Linked DNA regions of Daphnia pulex. The protein of the gene in region 1 purifies or fractionates together with the protein of each later gene. This does not show direct contact. Links are inferred from orthologs where the notes say so. Each region holds a gene or a part of one and is shown in the gene's direction. Other genes may lie near its edges. The genes, in order: growth factor receptor-bound protein 2, ruvB-like helicase 1, protein UBASH3A homolog, synaptojanin-1-like, ALK tyrosine kinase receptor-like and src substrate cortactin-like.

What was found.
Region 2: the proteins of growth factor receptor-bound protein 2 (region 1) and ruvB-like helicase 1 purify together in Homo sapiens (affinity purification with mass spectrometry; 3 studies listed by BioGRID and IntAct, with this or other methods). This does not show direct contact. The link is inferred for Daphnia pulex from reciprocal best matches to the Homo sapiens genes GRB2 and RUVBL1.
Region 3: the proteins of growth factor receptor-bound protein 2 (region 1) and protein UBASH3A homolog purify together in Homo sapiens (tandem affinity purification; 3 studies listed by BioGRID and IntAct, with this or other methods). This does not show direct contact. The link is inferred for Daphnia pulex from reciprocal best matches to the Homo sapiens genes GRB2 and UBASH3B.
Region 4: the proteins of growth factor receptor-bound protein 2 (region 1) and synaptojanin-1-like purify together in Homo sapiens (co-immunoprecipitation; 3 studies listed by BioGRID and IntAct, counting the BioPlex papers as one, with this or other methods). This does not show direct contact. The link is inferred for Daphnia pulex from reciprocal best matches to the Homo sapiens genes GRB2 and SYNJ1.
Region 5: the proteins of growth factor receptor-bound protein 2 (region 1) and ALK tyrosine kinase receptor-like purify together in Homo sapiens (affinity purification with western blotting; 3 studies listed by BioGRID and IntAct, with this or other methods). This does not show direct contact. The link is inferred for Daphnia pulex from reciprocal best matches to the Homo sapiens genes GRB2 and ALK.
Region 6: the proteins of growth factor receptor-bound protein 2 (region 1) and src substrate cortactin-like purify together in Homo sapiens (affinity purification with mass spectrometry; 3 studies listed by BioGRID and IntAct, with this or other methods). This does not show direct contact. The link is inferred for Daphnia pulex from reciprocal best matches to the Homo sapiens genes GRB2 and CTTN.

Annotation. Positions count from the first base shown.
Region 1 is NC_060028.1:9,115,225-9,119,177, reverse strand, and holds the start of growth factor receptor-bound protein 2, read left to right. Parts: upstream 1-1,153; 5' UTR 1,154-1,549; coding exon 1,550-1,627; intron 1,628-1,714; coding exon 1,715-1,812; intron 1,813-1,883; coding exon 1,884-2,003; intron 2,004-3,188; coding exon 3,189-3,354; intron 3,355-3,431; coding exon 3,432-3,605; 3' UTR 3,606-3,953. Other genes in the region: protein brambleberry-like, read right to left, coding at 4-189, 252-380, 454-762. UniProt on the Homo sapiens protein: Non-enzymatic adapter protein that plays a pivotal role in precisely regulated signaling cascades from cell surface receptors to cellular responses, including signaling transduction and gene expression.
Region 2 is NC_060023.1:12,188,576-12,192,666, reverse strand, and holds ruvB-like helicase 1, read left to right. Parts: upstream 1-1,413; 5' UTR 1,414-1,545; coding exon 1,546-1,686; intron 1,687-1,755; coding exon 1,756-1,884; intron 1,885-1,945; coding exon 1,946-2,120; intron 2,121-2,183; coding exon 2,184-2,555; intron 2,556-2,616; coding exon 2,617-2,720; intron 2,721-2,781; coding exon 2,782-3,071; intron 3,072-3,135; coding exon 3,136-3,295; 3' UTR 3,296-3,591; downstream 3,592-4,091. Other genes in the region: longitudinals lacking protein, isoforms A/B/D/L-like, read left to right, coding at 3,933-4,091. UniProt on the Homo sapiens protein: Possesses single-stranded DNA-stimulated ATPase and ATP-dependent DNA helicase (3' to 5') activity; hexamerization is thought to be critical for ATP hydrolysis and adjacent subunits in the ring-like structure contribute to the ATPase activity.
Region 3 is NC_060024.1:13,150,284-13,154,235, forward strand, and holds the start of protein UBASH3A homolog, read left to right. Parts: upstream 1-1,152; 5' UTR 1,153-1,285; intron 1,286-1,345; 5' UTR 1,346-1,496; coding exon 1,497-1,603; intron 1,604-1,666; coding exon 1,667-1,907; intron 1,908-1,970; coding exon 1,971-2,163; intron 2,164-2,239; coding exon 2,240-2,551; intron 2,552-2,614; coding exon 2,615-2,684; intron 2,685-2,751; coding exon 2,752-3,116; intron 3,117-3,184; coding exon 3,185-3,658; intron 3,659-3,738; coding exon 3,739-3,952. Other genes in the region: RNA-binding protein 1-like, read right to left, coding at 222-273, 350-574, 636-847. UniProt on the Homo sapiens protein: Interferes with CBL-mediated down-regulation and degradation of receptor-type tyrosine kinases. Promotes accumulation of activated target receptors, such as T-cell receptors and EGFR, on the cell surface.
Region 4 is NC_060023.1:5,749,180-5,753,181, reverse strand, and holds the start of synaptojanin-1-like, read left to right. Parts: upstream 1-1,202; 5' UTR 1,203-1,371; coding exon 1,372-1,498; intron 1,499-1,564; coding exon 1,565-1,651; intron 1,652-1,720; coding exon 1,721-1,997; intron 1,998-2,086; coding exon 2,087-2,788; intron 2,789-2,858; coding exon 2,859-3,024; intron 3,025-3,114; coding exon 3,115-3,165; intron 3,166-3,262; coding exon 3,263-3,289; intron 3,290-3,352; coding exon 3,353-3,630; intron 3,631-3,952; coding exon 3,953-4,002. UniProt on the Homo sapiens protein: Phosphatase that acts on various phosphoinositides, including phosphatidylinositol 4-phosphate, phosphatidylinositol (4,5)-bisphosphate and phosphatidylinositol (3,4,5)-trisphosphate. Has a role in clathrin-mediated endocytosis.
Region 5 is NC_060021.1:6,292,310-6,296,592, forward strand, and holds the start of ALK tyrosine kinase receptor-like, read left to right. Parts: upstream 1-1,483; 5' UTR 1,484-1,498; coding exon 1,499-2,288; intron 2,289-4,283. UniProt on the Homo sapiens protein: Neuronal receptor tyrosine kinase that is essentially and transiently expressed in specific regions of the central and peripheral nervous systems and plays an important role in the genesis and differentiation of the nervous system.
Region 6 is NC_060023.1:10,192,546-10,196,806, forward strand, and holds the start of src substrate cortactin-like, read left to right. Parts: upstream 1-1,461; 5' UTR 1,462-1,582; intron 1,583-1,646; 5' UTR 1,647-1,657; coding exon 1,658-1,803; intron 1,804-1,869; coding exon 1,870-1,989; intron 1,990-2,050; coding exon 2,051-2,161; intron 2,162-2,222; coding exon 2,223-2,343; intron 2,344-2,438; coding exon 2,439-2,549; intron 2,550-2,609; coding exon 2,610-2,720; intron 2,721-2,784; coding exon 2,785-2,968; intron 2,969-3,034; coding exon 3,035-3,105; intron 3,106-3,166; coding exon 3,167-3,712; intron 3,713-3,771; coding exon 3,772-3,852; 3' UTR 3,853-4,261. Other genes in the region: 39S ribosomal protein L23, mitochondrial-like, read right to left, coding at 563-718, 787-857, 926-1,131, 1,211-1,224.

The DNA of each region.
Region 1 (3,953 bases):
AACCTTGAGCTCTCTAATGAATCCCAATTGTTGACTAGAACTGGCCATGAGTTTGTTGACTGTCATTTGAGTCAGTGCTCTAAACTGTTGTTGGCGGGCACCGTAGCACACTGATCTTGCTCTATTGGATAGAATATGGTAGGCATTCCAGGTGTCGGAATCCATGTCAGAAGTACATTCCCTTAAAGTCTAAAAAATATAAACTGGTTAGCTACAACTAGCTGAAGTGATACATTAATTAGAAAACTTGCCATTGAAGAGGAGCATGGGTAGACTCTCCGCCCTTCCAATCTTGATTGGCAGTTTAAAAGATTCACACCCAACTTAGACAAATCTTCCTCTGAGAGATCATTGCAGTCTTGCTTCAATTGAAGGATTAACTATAAACGAGTTCATTAATATTAATGAACAGTGAGATTGTACTTTGAATCAACATCAAAGTACTTTACTTACTTTATGCTGGCAAACATCCAGCTCGCTCAGACTAAGGTCAGTATATTTCTGTGCATCGGCAATGAATTTTTCATCAGCTACAGACAGCTCAAATGGAATATCAGACCTTGCTTGCACAGCACTCTCATCAGGTTCAGAAACTTCAATCTTATCATCTTCTTTTGCTACAGCCATAAGCTTATCAAATTGTTTTTCACTACTCAAAATGTTAAAAGGGGAGCTGTCTCTGCCTAAAATCCAACCTACTAAACTAGAATGACTACCAGTTCCTAGGAGAATTATGGCCACTAAATATAAAGTTATCTTCATTTTTGTAATAATCACAGTGCAATATAAGAGAAAATCATCTGACAATAATTGTATAAGATTGTAAGAGGGTTTGGTCGATAAAATTAGTCAAAAGGAACTGCACGTTGCTTTTCTAAATTCAAGTCCGGACTGGTCTGAATCTCTGGGTCGAGATTCCTTTTGAAAACCATTTGCATTTATTCAAATGAGGCAGATAACGTTGCCACATTGCTTTTTCCAAAAGAATTCGACGGAAATTTAAATATTTAAAATCTTAAAATATTCATCTATTATGTTGTATTATAAAAAATGTATATTCCTGTAATTGAAATAATATTTTAAATAATTTCAGTCATTTGGAAAAAAAATAGTTAGAAAAAATAAAAAACGTTTACAGGCACGCAAGCATTTACCTTTAAAATTCCATTGGGAGAAAAGGACTGGTGACGCTCGTGCGTCAAAGCCAAGAACTAAGTTGTTTCCCAAAATTATGGCTGTCTGGCTTTCGTCGGGCCCCGAAAACAGTGTATAGTTAATCAAACAATCGTGGATACGGATACGTCAGTTGATAGTCAATATTGTCAAACAATTTGTGGGAAATGCTATTCGTTTTTGAGTTTCGAGAAGTGTAATTCGACTTTGAACGAAGTCAAAACATTTTGGTGATTGGCCAACAACCGTTTCACTTGATAAACGTAGCCGTGGTGCACATCCGGCCTAGCCTTGAAAAGGAAATTCCTTCTCTGAAGCTTGTTTTGCCAAGAAATACTTTATCATCTGTGATTTCATAAAACGTGTTATTTTCGAGATGGAGGCCAATTCTAAACATGACTTTAATGCCACTGCTGAAGATGAGCTTAGTTTTCGAAAAGGGCAAGTTCTCAAGGTAAACCAAGCAATGATGCTTTCAACAGAATTTAAGGAATTTTTGCTTATAGCAATATTCTAACCTGTTCATTTGATTCAAATGTAGATTCTGAATATGGAAGATGATCTGAATTGGTATAGAGCAGAATTGGATGGAAAAGAAGGGTTGATTCCTAGTAACTACATTGAAATGAAAAATCATGAGTAAGCCTAGTTGAAATGTTTATGATAAAATAATGCATATTGATTATAACTTGTTGTTTTATTTTCTACAGTTGGTACTATGGAAGAATAACCAGAGCTGATGCAGAGAAACTCTTGGGCAACAAACATGAAGGCGCTTTTGTTGTTAGAGTCAGTGAGAGCTCACCGGGAGACTTTTCCCTGTCTGTTAAGTATGTTATCTAGTTCTTAAAATAACAATGTGATAGATTTTGTTTAGAAACATAGACAGTGTAAATCCTTAACCAAGAGCTCTAGATAGTTTAGAAATGCCCCATAGGAATTCTTCTACTATGTTTGATGTTATTATTTGCCTATTCTCAAATGTTGTTGAAATCTATTTGTGGCATACCAGACTACTTATCATTAGAACATCTGAATGAGATAAGTTGACATCTATTAACTAAGCTTGTAAGTCGTTAACTGCCTAAAACGGGAAGATTTCTCAAAATATTTATGTAGAAATAGCACATTATAAAAACATATTGAGAAATATCGCTTTGCATTCAGATATCCTGATTAGACGCTACACGTACATTTGAAGCGTGAAAAGAATTTCAAACATGCAGGCTTTCATCAGTGTAAAATCAAATATCTTATAATCTCGCTCTCCAAACTGTACGATACAAGTTCTACCTTACTAGGAAGACGCGTTTGAATAGAAAATTAATGAACCGAACGTACAGTTTATTTCTATTTCCCTCAAAGAATCATGGGTATTTGGTTTTCTGTAGAAATTTGATTTGATCACGCAAGAATTCTTTCCAAATGCAGTGCATGAGTCAACCTGATGACGCACACATCCGTTTACATTCCAATTTTATTCACTTCAAAGGTGGAATGAATCTCAATTGTCTATTTTGTTTTACCTTAAAAAAACAAAGACAGCTTGTAAAATTGGAACTCGTGCAGTGACTACCCTTTGCTTAAGTCGTGACTCGTGATTCATGAACCGTCAGTCCTACTGTTTTCAGTAATTAGTTTTATCCTTTTTGGTATTTTATTAGCCTTGTTAGGCGTGTCTAGGGTACATTCTGTTTTCTATCTGTTAGGCCTTTTCGTCAAGTTCCCTTACCACTGAGCCACCGTCCGTAATCAAGCAACTATATATGTGCCTTGAACCGGAGTTTTGCATCATTTTTAGTTTTTACAATTCTCTCATCGCCCTGCTGTGTTATTTATTCCTTCTTGAGGTTTTTGCCCGTTAAGTTGTAGGATGAGTGTGTTTTGTTTATAGCTAAGGAAGCCATCATCCTACTTCCTTGTAGTTCGAAATTAGTTTGAAATTTACACAATACTTTGTTACGTGCATTCTGTGTTAATAGGCTATTCTCTATTTTTTCTTTCTTGTCTCGCAGATGTGGCGATGGTGTCCAGCACTTCAAAGTACTTCGCGATGCCCAAGGGAAGTTCTTTTTGTGGGTGGTAAAATTCAACTCGCTCAACGAACTGGTCGACTACCATCGCTCCACATCTGTTTCTCGGTCTCAGGATATAAAGTTACGAGACATGGTGCCTGAAGAGGTGAGTTACCAGTTGTTCTTTTTTCCATGCCTTTAGGCTCAGGATTGACTAACAATTGTTGTGTGAATTTTCGACAGTTCTTGGTGCAGGCACTATACGATTTCACCCCGCAAGAACCAGGTGAATTGGAATTTAAGCGAGGCGACGTCATAACTGTGACAGACCGTTCTGATCAACATTGGTGGACTGGAGAAATTGGCGCCCGCCGCGGCCTCTTTCCTGCCACTTACGTTGCCCCGTATCATACTTAAAAGGCGAAGGCACTGTTCGTTCGTTTTCTTTTGCTCCTTTTCTTTTCTTCATAAATTTTTCTTCATTTTTTTTTTCTTTTTGTATTAAAGTGGTGCGTCCGTTCTTAAGACTCAAGTTATTTTTGCCGACTTCGAACCTAAACACATTACTAACTTTGATAACAAAACAGTAAAAGTGATGAACAGCTAGGATTGACAGGATTGCATCTCATTTCTCATTGAAAGCAGTTTGTAAAATTGCTTTCTTTTCAGTTTTTTTCCGTTTATGTTGTTCTAACCTCGATTTTCGACTGTATTTCCCCTCAAGCACACAGCTTTCGGGATTGCCATTAGATGTGGCTTTGGTCG
Region 2 (4,091 bases), on another chromosome or scaffold:
CAACGGGTTTCAGTAGCTAGTACGAGCACTTGAAGGTACTGCTGTATGCCGTTAGCCTCTCTTGAGGCCCTTGACTCATCCTTTTTTGGTTCAAAGAGAAGTAAGTATAAGTAAGAAGAGATAAGTACAAAAGTGAAAGTGTTAACAAACTTGCAAGATATATGGGCTTGACTTTCTCCCACCGCCGTTTGCAATGAGGGATCATTCAGCCAGGTTTCCGCCAACTCATCCAATCATTCAAATTCCACAAAAGGCGTCAAAGATCATTCTCGTTCTTAATCGGAAGGCATTTTGAAGTACTAATTAATAAAGAATTATTGTTAAAAAAACCGATAAGAATGTGATGTATCATTTTAAAATAAAAATATACCTTGTAACGGGTTCTGTATGTCAAATCGAGCTCAGTATTTAATCCATTTCGAAACGAAAAGGTGTTTTGGTAGTAGTTTCATCTCCATTTTTGTTTTATATGACCTTCTGGAGCGAGGAGAGTTTAGTTAGCAAATAATCGCATGCGAATGCACCAGATAATGTTTTAATGAGAATCAGTTTGAGAAAATTGAGGGCACATTCACGTTCGAGTGCTCGCGCTCAGCAGTGAAACAGCGAGCTTTCTAATATTTACTGATAACGAGTTTGAAAACAACGGTTTCCATTATTCTTTCTCCAATGTGCCGAAAATACCAGACAACAAAATAACAACAGCCATGAAATATTCTGTTACTCTGTGTTTAAAAAGACGACAACATTCTAAAAAAGACTACAGCATCAATGCGTGTTATGTGTCAAGTCATCGAACTTGCAGCGTGTCTACTTTGCCGCACCTCTCCTTCGCCTATTCCTGCGTGTGTATGAAAAATGTGTAGGTCATACACGAAATAGATAAACGAAACTATTGTTGGATCTATTCTTTAATTAGTACTTTTAAGTGAAGGCACGTTTGAAGTCTATAATGGGGTTCGTATAGGCTAATTGTTTGTTTGTGTTTGAAATTGAGGAAATAACTGCAGACAAACTTCACGACTTTCGTCACACGCTTGTAACAATTTGACTACTGCGACGGATGTAAAAGATTTTAGCACTTCCCAGTGAAACATGAAATCGAAATGAATCAATGAATAGAAGAAAGAACAAGCTTGTTTGTTTACCAGACGACAGGTGTTTCAGTTTAATTTCGTTTAACGGCTTCGGCAACCACTCAAATCATCTTAGATCTCAGTGAGCAGCCAATCCCCATGGACCCCATCAACCCGATAGCCTGGTTGCCGAATCCTGGTGCTTGATAATTTAAAACTTACAGAATGATTTGCATGTAAATTTTCTTCCATGGTGCTTTTTCTTTTAAAAAAGGGTAAAAAACAAAAAACATTCTGCTTAAAAAAAAATCCTTTTACTACACAGTTGAGTCAAGGTCTACCAGGTGGCGTTTAATCTGGCGGGACTGCCGGTTGTTACCATAGAAACCCTGAAGCAACTTCGTCTCGTGTTCTTCTTAAGGCGTCCACATTTTTTCTGTAAATTTGCAAGTCTTTTATAAATAACAAAATGAAGATTGAAGAAGTTAGAAGCACGGTCAAAACTCAAAGAATTTCGGCTCACAGCCACGTGAAGGGTCTCGGTTTGGATGAATCCGGCAATGCCATAAACATCGCTGCCGGCCTTGTTGGCCAAACGCAAGCCAGAGAGGTAACACACAATTTTTTTCAGTTTTCTAAGAGAAATGTACTCAACAACTGTTTGCTCTACATTTCACAGGCAGCTGGTTTGGTGGTGGATTTGATCAGGTCTAAACGTATGGCTGGAAGGGCTGTGTTGTTTGCCGGGCCACCAGGAACTGGCAAAACTGCCCTCGCCATGGCAATTGCTCAAGATTTAGGCAACAAGGTCAGTCCTGCTTTAACTGTTTACAAGTTGAAGAAATTGAAAATTAAAATTTCATATACAGGTTCCTTTTTGTCCTATGGTGGGCTCAGAAGTCTTCAGCACTGAAATCAAGAAAACTGAAGTTTTAATGGAAAACTTTCGTAGAGCTATTGGCCTTCGTATCAAGGAAACGAAAGAAGTTTATGAAGGAGAAGTCATTGAACTTACCCCAGTTGAAACTGAGAATCCTATGGGAGGTAAAAGTTAACAACTCAGTTGATTTTTATGACAAATTTTACTACCAGTTATTTGTTTTACAGGATATGGCAAAACTGTCAGTCATGTAATCATTGGACTGAAGACGGCTAAAGGAACAAAGCAGCTCAAGTTGGATCCTTCCATCTACGAATCTCTCCAGAAGGAACGTGTTGAAATTGGTGACGTCATTTACATTGAAGCCAATAGCGGAGCGGTTAAACGTCAAGGCCGATCTGATACGTTTGCCACCGAGTTCGATCTCGAAGCCGAAGAATATGTCCCTCTTCCTAAAGGCGATGTTCACAAAAAGAAAGAAATTGTCCAGGACGTCACCCTACACGATTTGGACGTGGCTAATGCCCGCCCACAGGGAGGCCAAGACATTCTTTCCATGATGGGACAGCTAATGAAGCCGAAAAAAACCGAAATCACAGGTAATATTTTCATATACTTCAAAAATGCTTACCAAGATTTAAATTTACATTTTAATTGTAGACAAGCTGAGGAGAGAAATCAACAAGGTAGTCAACAAGTACATTGACCAGGGAATTGCAGAGCTTGTACCCGGCGTGTTATTCATCGACGAAGTTCACATGCTGGTAATAGACCAATAAAAATAAAGATATTCAAAGTTAGTGATTGATTTTAATTGAATTTCAGGACATGGAATGCTTTACCTATCTCCAAAAAGCGCTGGAATCGGCTATCGCCCCCATCGTTATCTTTGCCACTAATCGAGGCATGTGCACAGTCAGGGGTACCGATGATATTGTGGCTCCACATGGTATTCCTCTTGATCTACTCGACAGACTTCTCATTCTTCGGACGATGAAGTACACCGCCGAAGAGATGGTACAAATTATCCGCATTCGTGCCAAAACAGAAGGATTGAGCATTGAAGACGATGCCCTCCAAGCTCTTGGTGAACTTGGCAATCGAACTACTCTGAGGTAAGAACAAAAATTGTAAAGCAAAAAAATGATCTTATTAAACAATCAAATGTTCTTGGTTTAGGTATGCGGTTCAGCTACTTACACCCGGCGCCCTGACAGCTAAAGTTAACGGTCGCTCTTCCATCACCAATGAAGATATAAAAGAAGTCGGAGGTCTGTTTCTCGATGCCAAATCATCAGCCAAGATCCTGACGCAAGACAAAGACAAGTACATGAAATGAGGAATCGAGTCAAATTTGCTGGTCTGTGTGTTTCTTTCCATTTTTCTTAATAAAATTATCCTCCACGAATAACCAATTCAGTTCGTCACGCTACTCCGCTTCCATTTTTCTAAACACATTTCTCATGACCAACATATTTAGCTCTGTGTACCGCTTTTCTATTCGAAACTTGGTGTCGTTGGATAGCTGCTCTCTCAAAAGTTACGGACTTTTAACTTCTTTCATCTAAAAACGGGTGTACAAAATAAAAACAGGAAGCCGTTTTGAACGATTAAAATACATTAAAATGGATCGAGCTTTACTAAAAACATTGATTGAATTCTGAACAGGGGAAAAATTTCACCTCGGATATTTTGATTTGACAACGACGCCGCGCCAAATAGCAGACGAAAAATACTTGTTAGAGATGGCGTCTTTCAATCTTTGTGAATTTTTATACACAACACACCTGCTGGATTGTTAACTCACTGGATCATAAGCTGGTTCGAATTACTGGTCTCAGAATTTCGCCAACGCCATAAATTGGTCTTCTCATAGGGGTGAATTGTTGTTGTTATCTCACGAAGGCTTTGGTGAAAAATACCAAGGGTCTGGTTGTGCATTTCCGAATTAAAACAGGTGGACGTGTGTGCCTGCGATGATGGGCCAGCACGACATTCAAGAGTTTTGTCTCAAATGGAACAATCATCACAGTACTCTGGTATCCGTCCTCGACTCTTTGCTCGTGAGAGAAAGTCTGGTAGATGTAGTCCTGGCTGCTGAAGGTCAATCCATAAAAGTACACAGATTAGTTCTT
Region 3 (3,952 bases), on another chromosome or scaffold:
AATGATGAAAAGCCCAGGATTGCAGCTGACGCCACTGCTGGTCACACACAAAAAAATGGATGCCAAATAGGAGGGGAATCATAGTAGGGGAGGAGGTGAATGACGGTTTTTTTTCACAGCGACAAGGAGAAAAGAGAAAAAGTGGAGGAGCTTCTGCTTTGAAAATTATTATCTGCACAACAGGTAAGTGTGTGTGTGTGTATGTGATAGACCGGAATCAATTAATCGGCATACTTGCTGTAGCTGGGGGAACGTGAACGACTGCGTGAGTCCCTGCAATAACAAAAAGAAAAGTTTGTTTTGATGGCTTTTGCAACAGGAAGAAAATGTCAGTAGTTAAGGATCTTACCTGCGAACTCGGTCGCGAGAGACTGATCGAGAGGCTTTCCTGTCGCGGAAACGATCACGACTGCGTGAACGTGATCGTCTGGGTGAGTATCCACCACCTCTCCTTGCTGGAGGCCCACCACCTCCTCTGCGGTCTCCACCACGTCCACCACGGTCTCCACCAAAGCCATTACTTCTCCTCTTGCCTGTAGACATTTCCACCTTCACTCTGGCACCACATAAACGCCTGTGAAACACAATAGCATAAATAACAGATTGTTTGTTGTCAATAATCAACTGCAACTCACACTCCATCAAGGGCACGAACTGCATCCTCTGCATCTCTCGGGTCTTCAAATTCAACAAAGGCAAAGCCAGGGGGATTTCTTGCTACCCAGACATTTCTCAGTGTGCCGTACTTGCTGAAGGCTTCTTCGATCTCGCCTCTGGCCGCGTTAGAGCCTAGATTGCCAACATAGACTTTACAACGCGGATCCCAGTCTTGATGGCGGGACGACATGGCAGGTGCTTTGATGGCAAACGACGATAGAACGAGCAGTTGTAACCGTTGAGTTTGAGTTGAATAAAACGGAGCTTAGTCACGATATCAAAATTTGTGTATCAATAAACTGTATTACCTGGTATATTACGAGTATAAATGGGCGAAACAATATTTAGTTTGACTGTCAAAAGCAAAGAAACGCGGCCTGAGTCCAAGAGGAGGGGAGACGCGTCTAGCCGGTTGTTTCCAATTACTCGATGTAGACAACCACATATTCAATTCGCATTTGTCTTTTTCTTGTTGCCAGTTTTCAATAAAAACATACGCCGCAAATTTGAACGAAAGAGATTTGGCAATCACGAACGCATTTTATTTGGTAAAAAAAAATAACAAAAATGCAGAAAAGATAAGTGTCATTTCATTTTGTTAATGAAAATTCGTTCGAGTCATGAAAAGGTTTGAAGATGTTTACAAATTTTTATTCGATCTTAATTTAATTGCTCTTCTTCATTACAGTCCACTGGCCATGTTATCTTCAACACCATTCCACTATATTTAGAGACATTATCGGGATATTAAAATCGAATTTCGGTATTATTAGGGATTCTTATCTCATCGCTGCTCATATGCGTCACCGTGCAAACTAAAAGTATTCGTCTTGAGAGACATGGCTGAACTACCACCCAGAAAGAATGCAACTCCGACAAAATTGACAAAGCTGTTGATCTCACCTCTGCAGGTTCTCCTGCAGATGGGTTTTCCAAAACACAGAGCGTAAGTCACCCTGTAGCTCATAATACTCGGCACAACATGTAATTCTGTTTGTTGCTTTTACAGGGAAAAAGCCCTCGCTGCAACTGGATACAGAAATGTTCAGTTAGCATCAGACTGGTTGCTGGCCCATGTGAACGACCCCACCTTAGATGACCAACAGCCTAGAGAGTATCTTCTTTACCTGTGTCCGGCTGGCTATCTGCAAAGTCAATTGCAGGAATTTTGGGCCAGATCAGTTCGAGAGTGTGGCAGAAACGGTGCTCATGAGTTCCTACCCCATGTCACTCTAGTTCCCCCTTTCAAGGTTTATCAACAATATATATATCTACTGAAACTGGCATCATTGTAACTGAGTGATTGATGTTAGGTACCTGACAGCAGTGTCCCCAGCATTGTGAGCCTCCTGGAGAGGATTACAGAGCATGAGAGCCACCCCATTCCTGAATTAAGACTAGAGACCTACATTTCACAAAACTTTATGGGCTTCTTCCTCAATCAAGACTCTGCTGAAGTCATCAAAGTCATGGCTTCTCGGTTTGCTAGGGAACTAGCGCAAATCAGTATACATTTACGAGATTATTATTTTATGGCTCCAGAACGTTTCATTAGCTTTGATTCTTATTGCGTGTTTTACAGACGTTGCAGCGGAAGCCCACACACAAGCCCTTCACCTGACGTTGGCATACAATTTTCCATCTGGTCAATTCAGCACACTGGAATATCTTGTTAGAGCTCTGAATCCCAACAATGGCTATTCTCATTGGCAACTACGACTTTACTCGAGAGATATCCGCCTTTCAGGGAAGAAAGTCTACAAGGTCGTCTTCCCGCACGTTCCCCGTGAAACGGACGAACTGGAATTGCTCCTGGGCGATTTTGTTTACGTCGATCCTGAAGCCTGTAATAATTCCATCGACGGGTGGATCGAAGGCATCTCCTGGCTTACTGGTAAATAAGTTCTTAAAAACTATTATTCTCTTGAATTCGATTTAGAAACTGCGGCTTCTTCAGGTTGTTCGGGTTTTCTGCCAAAGAATTATGTCGAGAAAACTGCCGAATCGGACGCCTGGACCCTGCACAAGTACCGCCCATATAATTAGATAGTTCATAATCGAATTTGCTTGTTAACATCAAACTGCTGTTAACAGGAGTGTGGAGTTGAATCCATCCGCTGACGACTTGGACGAAATCGACGGAATTTCAGCATCAAGCGATCAAGCCCGGAGATTGTTGAGTCAAGTGTCGCCGGAATTGGGTTCTAACAGCGGCAAAAGTTCACCCACCGTTCGCCAGGAAATTAGTCCACCAAGAGGGGTGGCCGTTCGACCAACAGAGCTTTCAAAATGTACGGAAAACTACGTCAATTCCGATTTAGATATGGCCGGATTGTCTCCTGTGGTTGAACGGCCTCTAGCCTTCAAACAGGGTCCTCGACGGTTGTTTATAGTCCGCCACGGAGAAAGGGTCGATTTTACATTTGGCACCTGGATTCCTTACTGCTTCGATGAATCAGGTATGTCGGATTATTCAAATTAATAGAAAATTTGAATTTTAAAATTATTCGTTCATCTTGCATTACAGGTAAATACGTCCGTAAGGATCTGAACATGCCTCTGAGCGTTCCCAAACGTCAGGGATCGCCCGAGTCTTTCTTCAAGGATTGCCCGTTGACTATCCTGGGAGAAACGCAAGCTGGACTTTTAGGCCAAGCTTTACGCTCTGCTGGCGAATCCAACAAGATCCAGCACGTCTACTGCTCTCCTTCGCTTCGCTCGCTGCAAACGTGCCAGAACATTCTGAAAGGCCTGGAGATTGAGCAGTCGATCCCGATTAGTTTGGAGCCGGGATTGTTCGAGTGGCTGGCCTGGTATCAGGACTCGATGCCGCAGTTTCTCACACCTTCGGAGATGCTGGACGCCGGCTTCCGTCTCCGCGAGCAGCACCAGTACTTTATCGACTTTAGCGAGCTTTGCGACCGGCGTGAGTCAGCTGAACAGTATTACATGCGCTCGCATTACGTCACCCAGTGCGCCCTCCGCTGCACTGAGCACATCGGTAACATTCAAATTGGATTTTCAAAAGAGTCTTGATCCATCCCTCTCATTTGAGACTTAATTATCTTTTAATCGAAAAAGGTGGAGACGTTCTCCTGATCGGACATGCCTCGACGCTGGATGCCTGTTCCAGACAGCTGGTGGGTGGATTACCGCGATCGGCTCAGGAGTTATCGAGAATCGTCCACCGGATCCCTTACTGCAGTTTGGCCGCCGTCCAGCAGCAGCAGCAGCAACAGTGTCCAGAAGAGCCGGCCGATGATTCAGCCGAGGAAATTGGTAGTAAGCCCCGTTG
Region 4 (4,002 bases), on another chromosome or scaffold:
GGGTACAGAACCCAAAGCCGGTACAAATTCCACAACTAGTCAAAGCAGCAACAACACCCAAAGGCAGCTCGGAGTAAGCAGTAAGCCGACTACCCAATCCAAATCTCTTAACAGACCCAGGAAAAACAAGGCGCCACCTCCAAGGAGAGAAGCAGCAGCTCCAACCCCAAAAAAACAAACGCTGCCCTGCGTTTTCTGCATGTAAACTGCACAATGGAGCTGGAGGAAAAGAAGACGATCATCACAAACCAAAAAAGATGTTCAAACTGCTTTGGTCTCCACAAAAAAATTGACTGCTTGAATCCCCACCGCCGGTGCACCGCCGGTGCAGGAGCCAGCGATGTGGAGCAAAACACCACCTTATCTGTATTTGGCCTTTAGGCAAAAGAGGGTTGTAGGCAGCATGAAAACGGTGATTTGGATTAAGGTCTTCTGCAATTTCACCACATTAAAAGAACCGCCCTCCAAAAATTGCGTGGGGTCCGTTTTAAAGTGGGGGGAGCTTATCTCAACTTAGATAAGATATTCTACGTGGGGAAATTATAATTTTGATAATAAAATAAACATACTGTGAGAATCAGCGTGAAAAACTGATTCGAATCATATTAATTTCCACCCGATCCCTTATTCATGCAAAGACCTCGTTTTTTCGTTTATATTTGAGTAAGTTTTGTAAATGTAAACATATACCATATATATAACCCCCTTACCCTCTCCCAGGGATGTGCGTAATTCCCCCGCTCGACCCCCTACCCCACCCCCCCTTTAGGCCGGCTTGGGCAGCGCGTCAGCCCCGTAAAACTCAAAACTTTAAAACATGTTTTACGGGCACTGGCATTCACGCTCATTTGCACACCCCAACCCCACCAAGGTGGTTTTTTTGTACGAATTTTTTTACGAATACGAATTAGAAATTTGGATCATTGAACATAGTTTTGGGGAAAAATTTGCTTTCTGATTTTGATTTATAAAAATGTGATTTAAAATCGAAAAATCACCAAAAAAATCATAAAAGACAAAATGATTTAAGATCAAAATCAAAATCACCCAAAAGTTGATTTAAATCGCGATTTAATCATTTCCAATTTAAATTCCCAATTGATCTTCCGAACACTGCAGCATGGGGGCGCGGCGAGCGCTTTCATCATATTTTCGTTCCTAGTTTGATAGCTAGTTTCCTATCCTCTATGATTCAGCACATTGCACAGCTGATCCCGACTGTGCTACTTTGACATTCTGATTTTTGTCTTTTTGACAGACGAATGTGCGAGAACGAGCCGAGCGTATCAATTCCATTCTAAGTCACGTAAAAGCTAATGTGAGCGCACATTTTATTTTTAAAAGTTGTATTGTTAAAGTGAGCCATCAAAAATGGCTATGGGAAAAAGTTATAAAATATGGCATAAAGTCAATGGACAGGGACCGTACAGTGTTTTACTCGAACAACGAAACCGAGACGAAGCTCTCTTATTTGAATCTCTAGTAATTGCTGCCTTGGGTAATCGAAGCAAAGTTCTTTTTATTCTCACATACAAATAACCAAAATGTATACCATTTTAACTAGGATCTGCTGAGGTTGAAGTTGTGAAAAAATCATACACAAAACTCTCTGATGCTTATGGATGCCTTGGAGTACTGTTAGTCAGTACAGGTTTGTTAAATAATTTAAGTTTTTCATATTTTTAGAATCTAATTTAAGTTTTTTTATATTGGGTTGTAGGAGATGGACCCTTACAATATCTAGTCATGGTTACAGGTTGTGTGTCAGTTGGAAAGATTGGGGAGTCAGAAGTGTTTAGAATCAATCAAACAAGTTTTTTTCCACTGAGGGGACCCCAAACAGTGGAAGAAGAGAGAGTCACTGAACTGAGGAAACTATTCAACTCTGGCACATTTTATTTTCTCTGGTCATCAAGTGAAGACTCGATTGATGCTACATTATGTACTCAGAAGCTCCAACAGAATCCTGGGACAGACAACAGATTTTTCTGGAATAGGTTTGCAATTACAAACAAAATAGACCAGATTTTTATATAAGTAAGGAAGTGTTGTGGGTTAAGTCTTAACTTAATTTTTAATTTTTTAGGCTGTTGCATCTACCATTGCAACATTATGGAATTGACTGTTCCCACTGGCTTCTACGGATAACATGTGGCAGCGTTGAAATTCGCACTGTTTATGCAGGACATCGTCAGTTCAAAGCAGCAATTTTTTCTCGTCTTAGCTGTGAACGGGCTGGTACGCGATTTAATGTACGCGGCGTTAACGACGAAGGCCATGTAGCTAATTTCGTTGAAACGGAGCAACTCATATATGGTGACCAAGGAGATGCTTCAGCTTTTCTTCAAACTCGTGGATCTGTCCCCCTCTTCTGGGAACAGCCAGGTGTTCAAGTAGGCTCGCATAAAGTCAGATTTTCTCGTGGCCCTGAAGCTTCTTCGCCAGCTTTGGAACGCCACTTGAAACTAATGCAGCAAAGATATCATGACACAGCTATTGTAAATCTACTCGGTCTCAACATGGTGGGTGCGAAAGAAGGCGAGGCTTCTCTTAGTCAACTCTTCCAGGCTGATCAGAAGCGCTACTACGAAGCAATGCCTCACATAATGTTCGACTACCACCAAGAATGTAAAGGTGGTAATCTCCAAAATCTCAGCAAATTGAAACAAAGTCTGAAGCCGATCCTAGATCGCCATTCCTTCTTCCTACTCAAGAATCAGCGAGTAGTTTCACAGCAAAAAGGAGTTGTTCGTACCAACTGTCTTGACTGCCTTGACCGAACTAATTGGTATGATTAATTATTTAGGTTGTTTTTGTGGATTGGTGACTTATAGTTGCATATTTTGTTACCAAAAAAGTGTGCAGACATTCATCGGTTTAGAGATGTTAGCACTACAATTGGAGGCGCTAGAACCCCAGACGAAACCACAGACGTGGACAAGGTTTGAGGAAGTTTTCCGGGCGATGTGGGTTAACAATGGAAATGAAATCAGCAAAATCTACGCTGGAACTGGCGCTATACAAGTGATTGATTTTATTAAAAATTTTATTTTGAGCTGTTTTTTTTTTTCTTTCTTTTTTTCTGAATTAATTAAGAACGTGTTTTTCTAATAGGGTGGATCAAAGATAATGGATGGCGCGCGTTCGGCTGCTCGTACTATTCAAGTAGGCTATGCGTAACCTATGCCCGGTGTTTTATTTCCACTTAATGTATAATTTGAAAGGTTAAAATAACATTTATATTTTTTTTATTTTTTTTAAGAATAATTTATTGGACAGTAGTAAACAGGTAAAATTCGAAATTAAATCGTAAGCTTGAAATTGGAAATATAACTCGGTCCTTTTAAAATAGGAAGCATTCGATTTGCTGATCCATGGAGGTACGGGGAATGATTTCATCTTTGACCTGGCTCGCAGTCTTTTACCACCGCACTGGAGTGTCCTGCCTGCCGATATATTGCATGGCATGTGTTCTCGCTATTCTGAATTCACGGAGCCGCAACCTATTCGCGTGGCAGTTGGAACATACAACGTCAATGGTGGTCATCATTTCCGTAGTGTCGTTTACAAAGACTCTACATTGGCCGACTGGTTGCTTGATAGTCCACATCAAGATTCAGCTGCCGCTAGGTAAAACTTACTCCTTAATTTACTGAAAAGCCAACTGTAATTTTCTCCCATTTTTACTTACCCTTTAAAAAAATTTATTTCGTGGAATTGGGATGGGTGAGTTAACTAATATATGTTAGCATGATTAGAGCATCCCAATTTGGAAATGATTGGAGCATGTGTAATTGTCTATTTTCCTTTAGATTCTAGTTAACGGATTTTCTTTAAATTCTTTTGACTTGTTTATTTTATTTTATTTTTATTTTATTTTTTTTGTTTCTTCGCTTTTCCTTGCGTCCAAGTCCGTTATTAATGGCAATTTTTGTGGTATTTTGGTGAATAGATCATTGGTGTGTCTAAGCGAGGAACAAGGTTGGCGAACAGCGGACATCT
Region 5 (4,283 bases), on another chromosome or scaffold:
AACTTCAAAGAATATTCATGTCTTAACTTTCTCGCTCTCTCCCTCATGACCGCAAACATATTGCGCAATACTCGCCAGAGGGGGATAACTTTGAGGAATCTGATTCTGGATGATTCACGCCACTGTACTCTGAAGAATCGATTGTCTCTGAGCATCAGGAAAAAGAATATGTGTAATAACCAATCATGTCCGAGTTATACGACAGATATCCTTGGCTGTCTTTTTTCTATGAGGACGGATGACCTCCCTCCATCTATCTCATCCGCCTATCGATATATATAGATGTTGTTTTTATGCACTATCGGATCCGGTCGGCTCGCAGGCCACGGCTCGGGGCATTCCGGAGCGGAAATGTGCGTCTGACTTCATCCGTCTCTTCTTCTTTCTCTTTGGTCAATCTGATGGTCCATCGTCGAATGTTTTTTTTGCTTTTCTTTCTTTTCCTTTTTGGGTTGTTACTTTTATTATTTTTTTTTTTACTCGACGTTCGTGACGATTCAGTCTCATCGGTAAAAATAGATGATGCAATAACCATCTACAACAACAACAACCAAAGTTAAGGAACAGACTTGACTCGCATGGATAACGAGTTGCTGGCTGCAGTTGTACACTGCCGCACTGCACGTTCAATTACTAGCGTTTGACATCGCGGCAGTTGTAGTAGGTACGGTAGTAGTTTAGCTCGTGAGTCTAGGACGAACAACAACATCAAATGACATGGGCAAAGGATCCCGCCTCTTTTGATTGTTTTGATAGGGTTGTTACCAACTTCCAATAAGGAAAGGAACAGCGGGTGAACGGGAATACAAAGTTGGAGGATTTTCTGGAATTCGAAATCGATCGATAATAGTAAGCAAGTCATAATTGCTGATTGCAATCTAGAGCTTATCAACTGTGAGGGGGAGGATGGGGGGGGGACTCCTAATTTGCATCGCCATCTCCGGTTTGAATAGGCCGTTAAAGTCCTTTTGAATAAAGGCACGAGCTATATAGGCAACGGGCTCGGCTGTTTTTGTGTGCATTTGCAGCTCCTGTATAGACGATGAGCTACAGCCTAGTCCAGAAATATTCCTCCGGAAGGAACGAATAAAGAAGGGAAAGAATGGGCGGATCCGTAGTTGAAAGCGGATGCGTTGCCATCCTGATCAATCCATCGTTTTCGTCAACATCAAATAATGGATCCCGAAGAAAAAAAATGTGAAGAAAAGAGAACATGTTAGAACGACGTCGAATGAAGGAGGGGGTAGAGAGAGAGAGAGAAATTGATAGAGCCAAAAGTCAGTGCTGCGGAGTAGCGCCTGCGTAGTCCCGACTAAGCGGAACCAATAGAGACGGAACAAGAAGGACAGCAGCGTGCCAATGTGTTGATTTTTTTCCCCCTTTTTCTGTTTCTTTCTCTTCTTCTTTTTTCGAATCGTGTAAAATCCCTTCCTGCGCCAGTTGCAGACCAGAGCTTCTTGGTGTTAAGTCGCTCTTCCATCCGCTCCTCCACATCCACATGGAGCGTCGGCGGCGATTGCTCTTGTTTTGGCTTTTTGTTTCGACTGTGGTGATCCAAAGTCCGGATGGTGTCGGCTCCTGTTATTTGGGCACTTTTGCCGAATCGCTTCCGCGGACGGTCAACTGGCCGTCGGCATCGACATTCCTCGATCCTTGGCGTCAAATTGTGCCCTTTTTCTTTCATCCGCCGGAATTTTTGGACCGTTGGGCGAAGGCGGATTTCGCCCTGCTGCATGCCAGCCTCTCTCTGCCTTGTTCCGTCCTCCAACATCAGCCGGAAGTAGTTTTGTTGCCGGAAGCCTGGATTGAATTCCTCCCGGCGTTGGAGGATGGTGCTCGATATGCGGCGGTCGACCAGCAGCCGGCCCGTCCGTATTTCGACATGTGCGACCTGTTCGGCGCATCCAATATCAGTCGTGATTCAGTTCCAGGATGCCAAAATTGGCATCATCTAGAGGCGTGGAAACGTTTGCGGATCTTTTACGACATCCCGTCGCCCATCCGAGCGGCCGAGACCGCCACGGCGCATCGCCTACAGTGCGGTGAAAGTGAAAATAATAGTAATAGCAGCAGCAGCAGCACTAGTGGCGGTGGTGGTGGTAGTAATTCAACTTGGACTATCCCAGTGTCGTCTATGGTGAAACGATGGATGGCCGAACGGTCTCCCTGGACTAGATCCAATGCCACCATGCCTATAGCGATTGTTTCCAGGCATCAATCGTTTTACGGCCGGCATCACAGTTTACTATCCGTCCAGGCCGAATTGCATCTCACCTATTGGATGGATAGTGAGTAAAATAGTAATAACGCTTTTCGGGGGGTATCTTTTCTTTCCTTGTGGCGCTGCTGTGATCGAAAGCCGCGGGATAATTGGAATTACCTCAACGAATTGAGTGCGCTTCTTTTTTAAGAGCTTCCAGCGACTTCCGGTCTAGCTTCGATGGATCGGGTTTATATCTTTTTATCGCGGGTCGAAGAGTGCGGTTTCAGTATTTTCCACTGCAGCGCCGGAATCCAATAAATTTGAATAAAAGAATAATAAAAAAAATCAACATACACCCAAAGTGCTTTCAGTCGACTGAGTCAGTTTGGATTTTACCCGAATGAACTCGACGTCGATGGCGTTTGACGTGTTTGATTCCCGTTTTCCTTTACTCGTTCACGACTTGTGAATCTCAACCGCTCCTAAAGAAACGTTTGACGCCCTTTCGTTTTTACATCCCCAGCAAAACCAGAACGATAATAGTTGAGTCCAAAGTTAGTCCCCTCCGTGTGTGTACTCCTTACCGGCGTAGTATTCCGCGGAAAACGATTGAGAAAAATAAAGAATAAATATTCTATCCGTCACATCAATCACGCTTGACTGGGATCACTTTGGCTCGATTTTTCCCCTTTGCAAAAAAAACCCTAACAGCTTCACATCTAATATCTACGACTCGTTGAAATTTCTTCCTATTTCCCCCTCTCTCGTCGAGTGGTGCGTGTTGCGTGATCGCCCTTTCTCACTTCCCATTGTTGATCCGCCTTCTTTGGATGTTTGGGACTCGTCCGACAAACAGGTCACTCACTATAAGCAATCAAGTGAAACGCCTTGTTAAAGAAAAAAGCAAACTGGAACTAGTTTAAAAGACGAACGTTATTTCCCGCTGGAAAAAAAAAGAAAAGAATCCAATAGCTGGATATACCCAATAATAATCTTGTCGAGTTGGTGGATTCTATTTGGTATATGGGTCTTCTATTTTTTTTTTCCGCGTGTGTTATTACACGACAACGGAACATGTCTGTGGCAATCGGATTCCTTTTTTTGCGGCTATAGATGACCTTTTCTTTCCTACTACCCACACGAACAAAAACTATTGTGATAGATGTAATGCTCTTCCCCCGCTTTTGAATATGAATAAGGGGAGGGTAAACATTTCATGGATTCCTCACGTCTAGACTTTATTTTTGCACCCTGTAAGATGCAATCATAAATATTTGATCACATATATACGCAGGAAGCGGATTTAAAAATACTTTAGCGGGTTTAGTTGAATTGCAAAATTAATTGGGCATTTTTTTGTGCTTTTCATTTATTCGTAGTAGTGCACACAAGTATACCAATTCTTTCCGTCAAGATCTCCTTGGTTCTTCTTCTTTTGATTATGTTTTCGGTGGTCCGGCAAGAGATTCCTTGGGTCTTGTCCATTAGGGTCCGTCCGAAAGAACGAACGAAGAGATCCAGTTCGCCGCGTTCCTAATGACGCAGTCTGGTAGAGTTTCTTGGATACAAATAAAAAGGGGAAAAGAAAAGAAAATGGGTGGTGGTGGGGAGGAGGAGGGAAAAGGGTGGGGTGGGGGGGGGGATAAAAGTGATTAGTCGCGTTAGAGACAAGTCAGGCGCGCGTCACTAACGCTGGACTTGCCCCGCCACGCCTTAGATTCCTCCTATATAACAGTCTTCTATTCCCCCGTCCAATCAAAACCTACTTCAGCTTAAATTGATCATCGTCAAGCAAGGCTCGCCCTCCGCTCCATCCTCGCTACTCTCCCCACAACATTTACTCGAGCACTTGATTAGATGATTCTTATTGAAGACTTTGAAAGTCTCTGCGCAAAGCAGACGAAAATAAAAGTTTTGCAGACGACCTTTGGCTCCCTCCTTTTAGACCATCAAGGGACAATGAGGCGAGGATTTACTGTTGAAAAATAAAAGGAGGCGAATGCAATTGGGAATGAAATCATGTCTGAACGGATGAAGAGACGTGAGAGAACTGAGACTCGATTATTAGCGGTCGCAAAAC
Region 6 (4,261 bases), on another chromosome or scaffold:
TTTTTTCCTTCTCTCATGGGATTCTCTTGAAGATTACCTACATTGACTTTGTAGTCTATGAGTTATTGGACCAGAACTCTCAAATGATTCCTGGGTCAATTGATGAATTCCCAAATCTGAAAGAATTTCACGCGAGAATCGGAGGGCTAGAGAAAGTTGCAGCTTATCTGAGTTCGGATAAATGCATCAAGAATCCTTTCAATGGACCTATGGCTCATTGGGGCGGAAAATAAGCTAAATGGTGGTAACCACTATCATATCTGTAAATTTAATCTGGTTCTTATTTGTTTGGCGTTACGAGAAAAAATGTAGACTATTAAAAGTTATTCAATATTTCGGGTTAATGGGTAATACAATACAACGTTAATGAAAAATTATGGAATCCCTTTTCTGCTTTCTGCCACTTTTTTTTCCGAAGCAAAATATTTTCAATAAGTCCCCCCCCCCCCACCAAATACCGTGCCATAGGCCTACCCGGAGTTTCTTTTTATCTTATACAAATGAAATAAAATAATAAATAAACCATATGTTATTACTGTATTCTAACAAATTTTTTACAAATTCAATGACTAAACCATGTAGGCACTCCTTGTTTAGAAATATTAATGCTTGTTTTCTGGGCATACAATTCTTTTGTCTGTTTCATAGTATTAGTTTGCTCATCATAAATGTCAGTACTGCCATGAATTTCTGGGAAGACAAATTTGTGGTCTTTGTGCTAAAAAACAAACAAAACAAAATGGTTACAGTTGAAGAAACATTAAACAAGATAAGTTTTCAAATTACCAGAGTTACAAAGGCTATTTTTTCATCATTTTCCTTAGTGACATAAGTGTTGGGTAAAGTTTTTGTTTTCCCTTTAAAGAAAATTATTCTAAGTGTTAGTAAAACATCACTTATTTTAACCTCAATAATGTTGTCGTACCCATTTGGTTGTAGGTGCTGACATGAACAACAGGGAGGTTGTAAATTTTTTCAAGATATTGTTTAACATCAAGCTTGGTCATTTGTGATGAGACAACAAACTGAACTTGATTAGGTAGCAAATTGTGGCTCGGTTTGACAAGCTTCATCCAAAAGTCAGGTAGGAACACCCGTAATTTAGGACTACCGCTTTTGAAAGCTGGATATCTACATTTTTAGATTTTTTAATCGTAACTAATTATAAATTTTGAGTGAACCCAATTAAGCTTTGAAATTCTTGACTTACATTCTCGTCGACATTTTCTCAGGATGTTTGAAGCCTCAACACAATCAGTTTGATGATTTCTTGTTTACTGTTTTCGTCTGCATTGACTGCATGGTGCATGCTTGAATCTTTATGCTGCGCCAAATCATATTTCAAACTTTTCATTAATGATATTTACACTTTTATACTCATAGAAACAATTTAAATTTTTTTTTTAATTATTATTAGTAGATTTTATGACGAAATAAAAATAAGTTTTTAAAATTCATTTCCGAATGGCATTGTTGCAAGATAAACTATCCGGATTGTTTAACTTCTTATCAAATAGAAAGGGCGTGTGACTCAACTTTTAGCCGGTTTAAATTAGTATTATATCTATTTATTAAAGAATTTGTACGTCAGAGAGATCATTAATTATCACAAATAATTTTAAATTAAAATTTATTTTTCTCTCTAGATTGTAATAACATGTGGAAATCAGCAGTTGGTTCCAGCATCAAGGCTCCTGTTGTCAACCAAGATGACGATGAATGGGATACCGATCCCAATTATATTAACAACGTAACAGAAGAAGAACAACGATGGGGTGGGGGAAGAACTGCGGGTGCTATTGAGTGAGCATAAATGTTTTCTTCAAGACATTGTGTATTTACGTTAACGGTTTCTGTCAATGTTTACAGTATGAATGCTCTACGAGAGCAAACGACTAAAGAAGATCTGGAGCTCAAGAAAAAGGTAATGGCTGCAGGACCTCAAGCATCTTATGGATATGGTGGAAAATTTGGTGTACAAGGAGATCGGTATGTTTTTCTTAGAAAACTAAAATGTGAATTTCATCAACTTTTGTTTTTGTTTCTTCAGTATGGATAAAAGTGCAGTCGGGCATGAACATATCGAAAAAGTTGAAAAACATGCTTCTCAAAAAGATTACACCACTGGTTTTGGTGGGAAATATGGCATTCAAAAGGACAGGTAAGAACAGGATTCATTTTTTGTACATCTTTCCAATTTCTTACTATTATTGTTTATTAAGGATGGATAAGTCTGCAGTGGGGCATGACTATGTAGCCAAGGTTGAAAAACATGGCAGTCAAACAGATGCTGCCAAAGGGTTTGGCGGCAAGTTTGGAGTTCAAACTGATCGAGTTGATAAGGTATTTCATTAAAATATGCGCATTATTGTTTTATTTCAGTTACTTTACAGTTATGCCCACTATTTTCTCACGTTTTATTTGGATCGGTTAAATAGAGTGCTGTTGGTTGGGATTATCAGGAGAAGTTGGTAAAGCATGAAAGTCAAACAGATGGTTCCAAAGGTTTTGGTGGGAAATTCGGCGTACAAACCGACCGCATCGACAAAGTAACAAATTCTATAACTGTTTGAACAAAGGAATTTTTTCTATTGAAGTGCAATTTTTAGAGTGCAGTTGGCTGGGATTATCAAGAAAAAGTGGAGAAACATGAAAGTCAGGTGGATGGAAATAAAGGTTTTGGTGGTAAATTTGGTGTCCAGGCTGATCGAGTCGATAAAGTATAACCTACCAATGCAATGTTATTGTAATCCAACTAATTTCTTAATTTATCTTTTGTGACAGAGTGCTGTTGGTTATGATTACCAAGAAAAAGTAGAGAAACATGAGAGCCAAGTAGATGGTTCAAAAGGTTTCGGAGGAAAATTTGGTGTTCAAACAGATAGACAAGATGCAGCGGCCGTCGGTTTTGATGAAGAACAAGGTCATGTTGGTACTACTTACGAGAAGGATAAGCCAGTTATTGCGGGTAACAATAAAAATTTCCGTTAAGTTTTTCTTGGTTTGAATTTATTAAACTCATTTGGTTCCATAGAGAAAGGTAAAGCGTCTTTGCTGAAATCCCGTTTTGAAAATTTTGCTGAAGAAAACAAGAAAGCAGCCATGGTAAACGTTTGATAGTTTCTTATTACAAACAAATGTATTACATCATTTTTCATTTCTTTAGGTTGTTCCTCCTCCACCGAAGAATCCCCGCCCAATGGCTAAGATAGCACACAAATTCGAAACACAGTCGACGCCTCAAACAGAGCCACCCATTAAACAAATCCCCCAAACAGAAAAACCTGTCCGACAAAACCAATTCCTCCCAGCCAAGTCGCCTGTTATACCAGAGCCAGTCATCCGAGAAAGTCCTGTGATTTCTCCAGTTCCAGAACCTGCTAGGTCGCCTTCACCTCCACCGACTGTCGTTCCACCTGTTCCGGCACAAACTCAACAACATATCGCGCAATCCCTTGAACGATGGAACGATGATCTGGCCGAAGCTGTCGAAGAAGTGGATGATGGAGCGTGGAGGGAGCAAGTGGATGAGCAGGATGACGCCTGGAAAGACGAAGAAGAGATAGGCTACGTCCAAGAGAATTCGAATTTAGAAACAGTTGCGGAAGAAACTGGATCCGGTCTTATTGCAGTCGCCCTCTACGATTACCAAGCTGCTGCAGAAGACGAGCTCTCCTTTGACCCGGATGAAGTCATTGTCAACATCGAAATGGTAATGTTTATTAATTTATAAAATGTGTTTAGTTTCTAACCAACTCTTTTGCTGTGCAGATCGATGAAGGTTGGTGGCGAGGGGAGTGTAGAGGACAGATAGGATTATTTCCCGCTAATTACGTCCAACTGCAACAGTGAAACCCTATCCAGTTTTTTTCGTCTTCCAGGTTTTATCCAACAATCCAAGGTTCTTTTTTATTCCCAATTGTTAAGCATTCTTTCCAAGAATTTTCCTTATCTCGTAAGCCAACCATATGGCGGTTCTTTTTACGCGTGGCGTTATATTCGTGTATTGTTGTCCAGTCAGTATTCACAACGCGGTGAAGAAAAACATTACTTATTACAGATTAGTTGATTTGATGAAAATGTGTGACGGAAAAACATCGTTCTTGCCTATTATTGTGGAAAGAGAATTGCAAGTTATCCCTTATCTGCATTTAATTAAGAACCAATAATTAGATGTTGTTTGCCGACTCAAATCACAATGCTTTGTTATGATTATTGTGCCGAGATCCAACCGACCAATCTATCTTATGCAGCCTGTTGA